Linked DNA regions of Canis lupus familiaris. The protein of the gene in region 2 interacts with the protein of the main gene of each other region in a pairwise test. Links are inferred from orthologs where the notes say so. Each region holds a gene or a part of one and is shown on either strand. Other genes may lie near its edges.

Region 1 (4,199 bases), on a different chromosome or scaffold from region 2:
TTTTTTTTTTTAACAGAAGAAGTAACTAAGACCTCAGAGAAGTAAAGTAACTTGCCCGAGGTCACATGGCTCACAAGTGGCACAGCCAGGATTTGAACCCAGGCCTGTTTATCCTGGGTTCCGTGCTCTGGTGTTCATCCTTACTCCCTCTCTAGTTTTGTGTTCCTAACCAGAGGCCCAGCAGAATCACTTAGGGAGCTTTTTAAAAAATACAGGTTGATAGGTCCCTCTCTTCCCAGAATAACTCAAACTAAAGGGGATTTAAGCCCCTGGTTGGCTCAGCAGTTGAGCATCTGCCTTCGGTGCAGGGCCTGATGCCGGAGTTCAAGGGTAGAGTCCCACAGCCGGTTTCCCGCAGGGAGCCTGCTTCTCCCTCTGCCTGTGTCTCTGCCTCCTCTGTGTGTCTCTCATGAATAAATAAATAAATAATCTTAAAAAATAATAAAATAAAGGGGATTTAAGCAGGTGTTTGGCAGTTCCCCATATGGGCACTCTTGGGGTGCCTTTCAAGAGAGGATACACAGGATGGCCTCACTGGCACAAGGAGGAGGAGCCTGCCTTGGCTTTTCACCAGGAGGCTGAGTATTCCCAGGCTTCTAGGCGCTCAAGATGGGACCAGAATCCAGGCAAGGATCCTCTCTCCTACCACCCTATGGCCCTCATAGGCTCCTCATCAAAATCTGATCTCATTCCCATTATCGTAACTCCCAGTTCAGAGAAAAGTCAAATATAAACCCTTATTTCACAAACAACCGAGAATAGCATCCTTGGTTGGCCTTCGTGTCTTAGACTTCAGCCAGTTTTAATTCCGAAGTAACCAGTAAGCACTGAGCACCCCGCGATGAGCCAACGGGTCATGCTTTTTCAGGGGCGTTCGCAGCTGCGGCTCAGGCTCAGCCGCGGCGCAGCGAGGCGGGAAGGGAAGGCGGGCTTGCTACTCGCTTCGGGGCCGGACGGGGGCGCCGGTCTCCAGGAAATCACGCGCAGGGTCGGCGTGTGGGCAGAGCCGCGAGCCGCCGCCGCGAGCAGCGATGAGTCAGTTTCCTGCGGAGCGCTCCCCGCCCGCCACAACTCTGCGTGCGCTCGGGCTGCAGCGTCACCCTCGGGTGGGGAGGGGAGGCGGGGGGCGGACCGGGGGGCGGACCGGGGGCCGCGAACACGTCACGCTGAGCCAGCCAGGCTTCCGAAAGCCCCGCCACTGTTGGAAAAACGCGCGCGCCTCCGTGACACACACACACACACACACACACACACTCCGCACGCAGAGGCGCGCAGAGGTTTGGTCCCTCCACCTTATCTCCACGCCCAAAGCACGGGATGAGTCAGATCCCTGGAAAATAAAAATAGACGAAAGCAAGGAAAACAGAACCGCTCGACAGTCCTCGAACCGCGACGTGGAGGCAGGGAAGGGGGGGCAGGGAGGGAGCCGCCCGGGCACCCCAAAGCGCCAAACCCAATTCCAAGATTCTTTTCCGCAAGAGGCGGGCGCCCGTGTCCCCCGAGGGCCCCCGACGGGGGGGGGGGTGCACGGTGGCCCGCGCTGGGCGGCGGCGCCCAAAGGACGGCTCGTCCTCTCGCTGCGCGCTGAGCAGTCGCCCTCGGACAGGGCAGTTTGGCGAGGGGCGCCGGGAGCCCCCGGATGTGGCCGTCAGGGTGGGACCAGCCTCCAGATGGGACCTCTCCGGGTCCCTCGCCCCGCGCGTGGGCTGCACGCCCCGCGGCCCCGCGGCGCAGGTCTCCCCTCCCGCTGCGGAATGCGGCGCCCCGACCCCAGGGCAGGCGGGGCGCGAAGGAGGACAGGTGTGTCCGACCCCTGTTCTTCTCCCACGGGCCGGCTGGAGCGAGCCCAGCCCGCGCAGGGCCACCGCTCCGGGTCCCCGAGGGCGCGCTGCGAGGCGGGGACCGGACACCCAGTCCTGGACCTCCCGATGTCCCGGCTTCCCTGAGAACACTTTGTGCCAGCCAAACAGTCACTGTGCCGATCGGGGCACAGACACCCGGGGCGGGGAGGAAGCCGACTTCTGGGGCGCCACTGTCCCCCAGCCCGGGCGGGGCTCTGACCGCACCCGTCCCATTTCCCGGGGTCTCCTTGTCACCGTGAGTCACCTCCTCGATTGCCCTGAAAGGATGTGTCCCAACACGTTCCCAAGGACCGGGGGGGGTACGCCGCCCGCGCTGACCTCAGCGCCCAGCCGGTGGCGGACGCGGAGGCGTCGGGGACCCCGGCCGCAGGGGTCTGGGCGGAGACGGCGCGGATTGGATCGCAGCCGCCGGGAGCGGAGGGCGGTGAACCTGCCGGGCTCGGCGTTCCCCGCCCCTCCGGGGGCTCCGCGCCCGGGGGCTCCCTCCGCGCGCCGCCGGGGGCCTGGGGCGCGCGAGTCCACGCCTCCCCTGGCTCCAGGGCGGGGGGCGCGGCAGGGGATCCCCCGCTCTGCTGCGCTCCCGCCGCCCCGGGCTTCCGACACAGCCCGACCTCCGGCACAAGCGCACCTTCCGGAGACACCCGTGGGAGCCGAGCCCAGCCCCACGCGCCGACCCACGCACGTCATTCACCTGTGAAGACGGCACGCGCACGCACACACTCACCCGCTGGGACACTAACACACACACACGAGGCGGACACCTCGGCCGGGCTCCGAGCCGCCGGCCCAGGCCCCCTCGCCGGCCACAACGCCCTCACCTCCTCCGAGGGTCTCCGGCTCCGCGAATCCGCGCCCGCCTCCGCTCTCCAAGCCACCGTCTCCCGCAGCAGCTCGCGAGCTGGCACCGCCCGGTGCCGCCTTATATAGGGACCGGCCGCCCCGCCCCCAGGCCTGGCACCGCCCCTTCTGCCGCCGTCCGCCGCCGCAGCTCGCAACTCGCCGGCGGCTGGAGACCTCCGAAGTCAGACGCCTACACCGCGGGCTGCAGGGGGGCGCTTCCCTCCCCGCCCCGCGCCCCGCGCCCGGCGCCCCGCGCCCCGCGCCTGGGTCCCTGTGCTTGACATGTTTCCCCACTAACTGAGCCACAGACCGGGGTTGTTTTCGCTGGGTTGGGAGTTGGCACTCCCCACGAAGGGATGGCATTCTTAGGATGAGCCCTTCTTCTGGCCCCGAGAAGATCACGAGGGGTGACATTCATAGATAACACTCCATAAATAAAAGCATAAAGGATGTGCCTCGCTCGGCGATTTCCAGAAAAGCCCACTATACCGCCAGTCTTCCCACAGACCCCTCACTAGACCGCCTCTTCCCAAGCACCCAGACACGCCAACAAAGCATCTTGGAGACCAGAACCGGATTCGATCCCCCTTCTTTCACAGATGAAGAAATTAAGGACCTCAGGACTAAACGGATGCAAAGTTGTTGCTCGCCCAATGCCCCCGGGGAAGGAGGGAATGGGGAATACTCAGAAAAGGTCAACCAGGTCTCCAGGGGAAAGCAGGAAATGGGGGAAATTGGACATTGAACCAACCTCCCTACCCCTCCTCCTCGTGCCCACATCCACCTCCTTCTCACCTCAACAATAGAGATCTCTATGATTGCAACAGATTTTTTTTATTTTTTTATTTATTTATGATAGTCACACACACAGGGAGAGAGAGGCAGAGACACAGGCAGAGGGAGAAGCAGGCTCCATGCACCGGGAGCCCGACGTGGGATTCGATCCCGGGTCACCAGGATCGCGCCCTGGGCCAAAGGCAGGCGCCAAACCGCTGCACCACCCAGGGATCCCGCAACATATTTTTTTTTTTTAGATTTTATTTATTTATTTATTTATTTATTTATTTATTTATTTATTTATTTATTTATGAATGAGACAGAGAGAGAGCAGGAGCAGAGGAAGGGGGAGAAGTAGGGAGAGAGGTAGAAGCAGACTACCTGCTGAGCAAAGAGCCCAACTCCAGGCTGGATACCAAGACCCCAAAATCATGAAGCAAAGACAGATGCTAAACCAACTGAACTACCCAGGCACCTCTGATTGCAACAGATTTGATAGCTAGGAAGGGGGAAGGACTTGGTTAGCAAATTATCTCCTGGATATTCCCCCGCACAATCCGCTTACGCTGCTGGGAACACTGAGGCTCAGAGAAGTTCAGTGACCTGACTCAGGTCACACAGCAAATAAACAGCTATAATTGGAGCATAGGCCCAGTGCCTCTCAGAGCTCTCTGCTCATTGCCCTCTCTATTTAAGTGGCTCTAGAAAGAGGGAAACCCC
Region 2 (3,500 bases):
GACAGCTAACTTGGATGGACTGGCTACATTGTATCTGAAGGGGGCAAGCAGTTTCTCCAGCATAAGATGAGAAACTGGTTTGCAGTCTGGAAAGGCAACGGAAGAGACTCAGTGGCACCTCAGTAGTGACCTCTGTCCATCTGAAACTAGTAAGGGGTGATAAGGCCAGAGACCCATGGGGCAACCCGCCAATCAGAGCAGGTCTATAAATATCTGAAAGAGGTTACAATGCCTGGGGGTCAGACTCTTGTCACTGACATTTTTGTCTCTGGGGGTCGAGCAAGAGCTTGTCTTAAGCTGGTTGGGAGTCCTTTTTGTAAGGCAGCCTTAATAGGAGATGTTCAGAAAAGGAAGAAAGCTTATCATTTCTATAAATATTAAGTTCTGTCCCAAGATTTGCCTCTGGAGGATTAGAAAAGCATTCTTCACGTGAAGCACACTGGAGGGGTCTCTTCAATTTGTGTTTTAGATACCAGGTGGTATCGTACGAGCCCTTTTTTTTTTTTTTTAAAGCCCATGTTTAGGACCTAGAATTTTAGAAGCATATTTAAGAACCCTGCGTTTGGTTCCACGAGGCCCTTCAATACTTCCGTGCACTACTTCCTCAAGACAGTAATAAAGACCAAGGCAAACTGCAGGTGGGAAGGTGAGAGAGCCAGCAAGCTGTGGTCCTCACTCTGAGTTGTCAACCTTCTGCTCAGCATCCCGGATGGGGCATCAGCCACAGGCCCGTAAGCCACGCTATCTCCTAACTCAATATATTCCCATAGCAGGGCATTCAGGAGCTACCTGGAACATCCAGAGGGGCGCTTCGTGATGTTCCCCTGCACCTTGATTCTCTCCGTGGTGCCACATGAGGGCCTCCCTGCTGACAAGCCTCTCCAACTGCCTTTAAAAAGCAGAGGACTTTCTTGAACAAAAAGCTTCAGAAGCTATAACAAGGGTGGAGTACAACGTTCCGAGACGGGGAGTCGGAGCTTCCAGGTTCTGTCCCAGCTCTACTACTGCCCCCACCCTACCCCTGTGCCCCAGTCCTCTGCACCTCTCATGGAAAGTCTCTACCCGCCCCTCTGGCCTCTCACAGCCACCCTAGCTTAGACCTTTAAAGGACTGCAGTCTCCTACCAACAGAATCAGAGCCTCACTTGACCCTGGTCTCTCAAGACCTTTCTTCTAAGGAGCTTCAAATTCTGGCAAGCAGAACTACATCCTCTGGGCAGTCCACGGGGCACAGGGGTGGAAAAATCTATAGCTAATAATAGTTCCTTAAATTATGATGGTTCTTTATTCTTGTACAAGTACTTTTTAATCCATTACCACATTAAACAAAAGGGGAAGTGAGAGGCGGGTGGGGCTGAGAGGTGTGTCAAGGCCAGACACGGTCTAGAGGTGGGGCACCTCTTGGATCCCCACCGCCCCCGCCCCCAGGGCAGCAGCCGGCTCTAGTCCCTTCTCCACTGTGTCTCCGCCCGAGTGGGTGTAAGCAGAGCACGACACTGTGGGGGAGAGGCAGCCTGAGGACATGTACATAAATGGACATGAAACAACAATTCAGACTCATGGGGAAGCCCACACCACGAAGGAAAATTAGTAAACAGCCCTCCTCCCACCTTGTGTCTGCTTGCTAGGTTCTCTTCTCTATTTTCTGGCACGGAGGCTTTCAAACCCTTACAAGGAAGCCTCACCTACTGAATTTCGTACTACCTTGGATGTTGATCTTGGAAAATAGAAGCCACCACCACCAAAAACGAAAAAATATACCTCCCAACACATCATCATCCAGCCGACTGTCTCTTCCTGAACTGAGAAAAGAGACATCTGGTTTTAACCAAGAAGATGGCGTCCACCTACCACATCCGTGTTGGTGATCTTGGCCAGCAGATCCACCAGGGCATCGCCGGTGAGGGAGCTCACGTCCTCATCCTGCTGCAGCCCACAGATGGCGGCTCCCACGCTTCCAGTTGCAATCATCGATGGCGGATACATGGCGAACTTAAAGTCTGCGAGAATGAGAGGCAGAAGGTCAAGGCACAGGAAGAATTTGGATCTGGGGGCTCCCCGGCCTGAAGATCCTCAGAAATAGGATGGTGAAAGGTCAGCTGCACAGGTGACTCCTCACCCTACAGACACATCCTCTCCTGAGTCTCCCTTCACAAGATATCCTTTATTTATTTACCATTACTGTGGCAGGTCCAGAGCTCCAATGGAGAGACTGAGGCAGGGAAGGTGGACAGCTTATCTGAATACACAGAGTAATTTTCAGAGAGGGGACTCGTCCCCAACCCCTCACCTCCATGAGCCTGTCTGGGGTTGGCACGTGTAAGGGGCAGGAAGGTAAGAAATGCAGTGTCCTCTGCAGTCACAGTGAGCAGAGCTGGGAGGGCTGAGGTGAGACCAGACAAGGTAACCTAGGTGCCGTACAAGTGAGACAGACCAAGGGATCTAGATGGTGGAAGGTGGGGAAAGTATAAGCAGGTAAAATGATATGAAGAATGATAATCCTGATGTAATATTGCCCCTATTATTTGTGGACAGTCAACAGACAGATGGCCCAAAACAAAAGATGATTTTATTTCATTTTTTTAAAAAAGGGGGTGGGGGAGAGAAGCAGTAATGGATGGAGGGCATGAGGGCCAAGTTTCACACAATTCCCAACTTCTAGCCCAAGACCCTCAGAACATAAGGAGAGAAGGCAAGCACCCAGTATTAGCCACTGCACCCTAACCACATGGATGGCTTTGTTTAGGTTGTATGGCTCTTGGGCCCAAAGGTCCCATTTTCTTGCTGGGGGAAAAAAAAGAGCAGTTTGCTAAGAGAAGTACAAAGTGAGAATAAGTTGAAGGAGCTCAAACCCCCATCCACTTTCTTTTCTCCAAAAGCAAACAGAGGGTATGTTCCTATGTTCCTGTGCGCCGGTGAGGGCTCAGCGTGGGAGACCAAACACCTCAGTTTCCTGAATGTTCCCGCAAAGAGGCTGGGTGACCAAGATCACCTACTGCCCAGTTATCAGGAAGAGATAAGGGCACCCACACCTGACTCCTGCTGCTGTTCCTAATGCCCGCTGATGCCCCACATATACAGTCCTATCGGTGTAACATGCCAGTTCACCCACACTCCCACCAGAGAAGGAGCTCGCATGGTGGATGAGGAAGGGCAGACCCCTGAGCTGACACACTGCCCTTACCTGTGCCTTGTTCTGATATGCTAGAGAGGTTACTGTCACTCCCTTTAGTCAGTCCTGGAGTGGAGCAAATCCTCCAGTGCGTCACCTCTGGTTCTAGCACTCCTGCAGTTGCCCGTATAGAGCTGGGCAAGGGCGGAGGTGGGTGGGGATAGTGAGAGGGAGGTACAGAGGGAGGACCTGGGTCACACTTCAAATTCTAGCAGGCACATCAGGTTGAAACTATAAAAACAGATGAACCTAATGCCTTCCCTTCCTCCTGTCCACTTCCCTATTAAGCAACATATCCCATTAAAGCCCTTTTATAGATGACCCCACTG

What was found. The genes of interacting proteins can lie anywhere in the genome.
Region 1: the proteins of CCND2 (region 2) and CDKN1A interact in binary tests that used the Homo sapiens proteins (3 or more experiments, as listed by UniProt). The link is inferred for Canis lupus familiaris from reciprocal best matches to the Homo sapiens genes CCND2 and CDKN1A.

The regions. Positions count from the first base shown.
Region 1 is NC_049233.1:5,926,830-5,931,028, reverse strand, and holds the start of CDKN1A (cyclin-dependent kinase inhibitor 1), read right to left. Parts: upstream 2,801-4,199; 5' UTR 2,681-2,800; intron 1-2,680. UniProt on the Homo sapiens protein: Plays an important role in controlling cell cycle progression and DNA damage-induced G2 arrest. Involved in p53/TP53 mediated inhibition of cellular proliferation in response to DNA damage.
Region 2 is NC_049248.1:5,513,135-5,516,634, reverse strand, and holds part of CCND2 (G1/S-specific cyclin-D2), read right to left. Parts: intron 2,000-3,500; coding exon 1,851-1,999; intron 1-1,850. UniProt on the Homo sapiens protein: Regulatory component of the cyclin D2-CDK4 (DC) complex that phosphorylates and inhibits members of the retinoblastoma (RB) protein family including RB1 and regulates the cell-cycle during G(1)/S transition.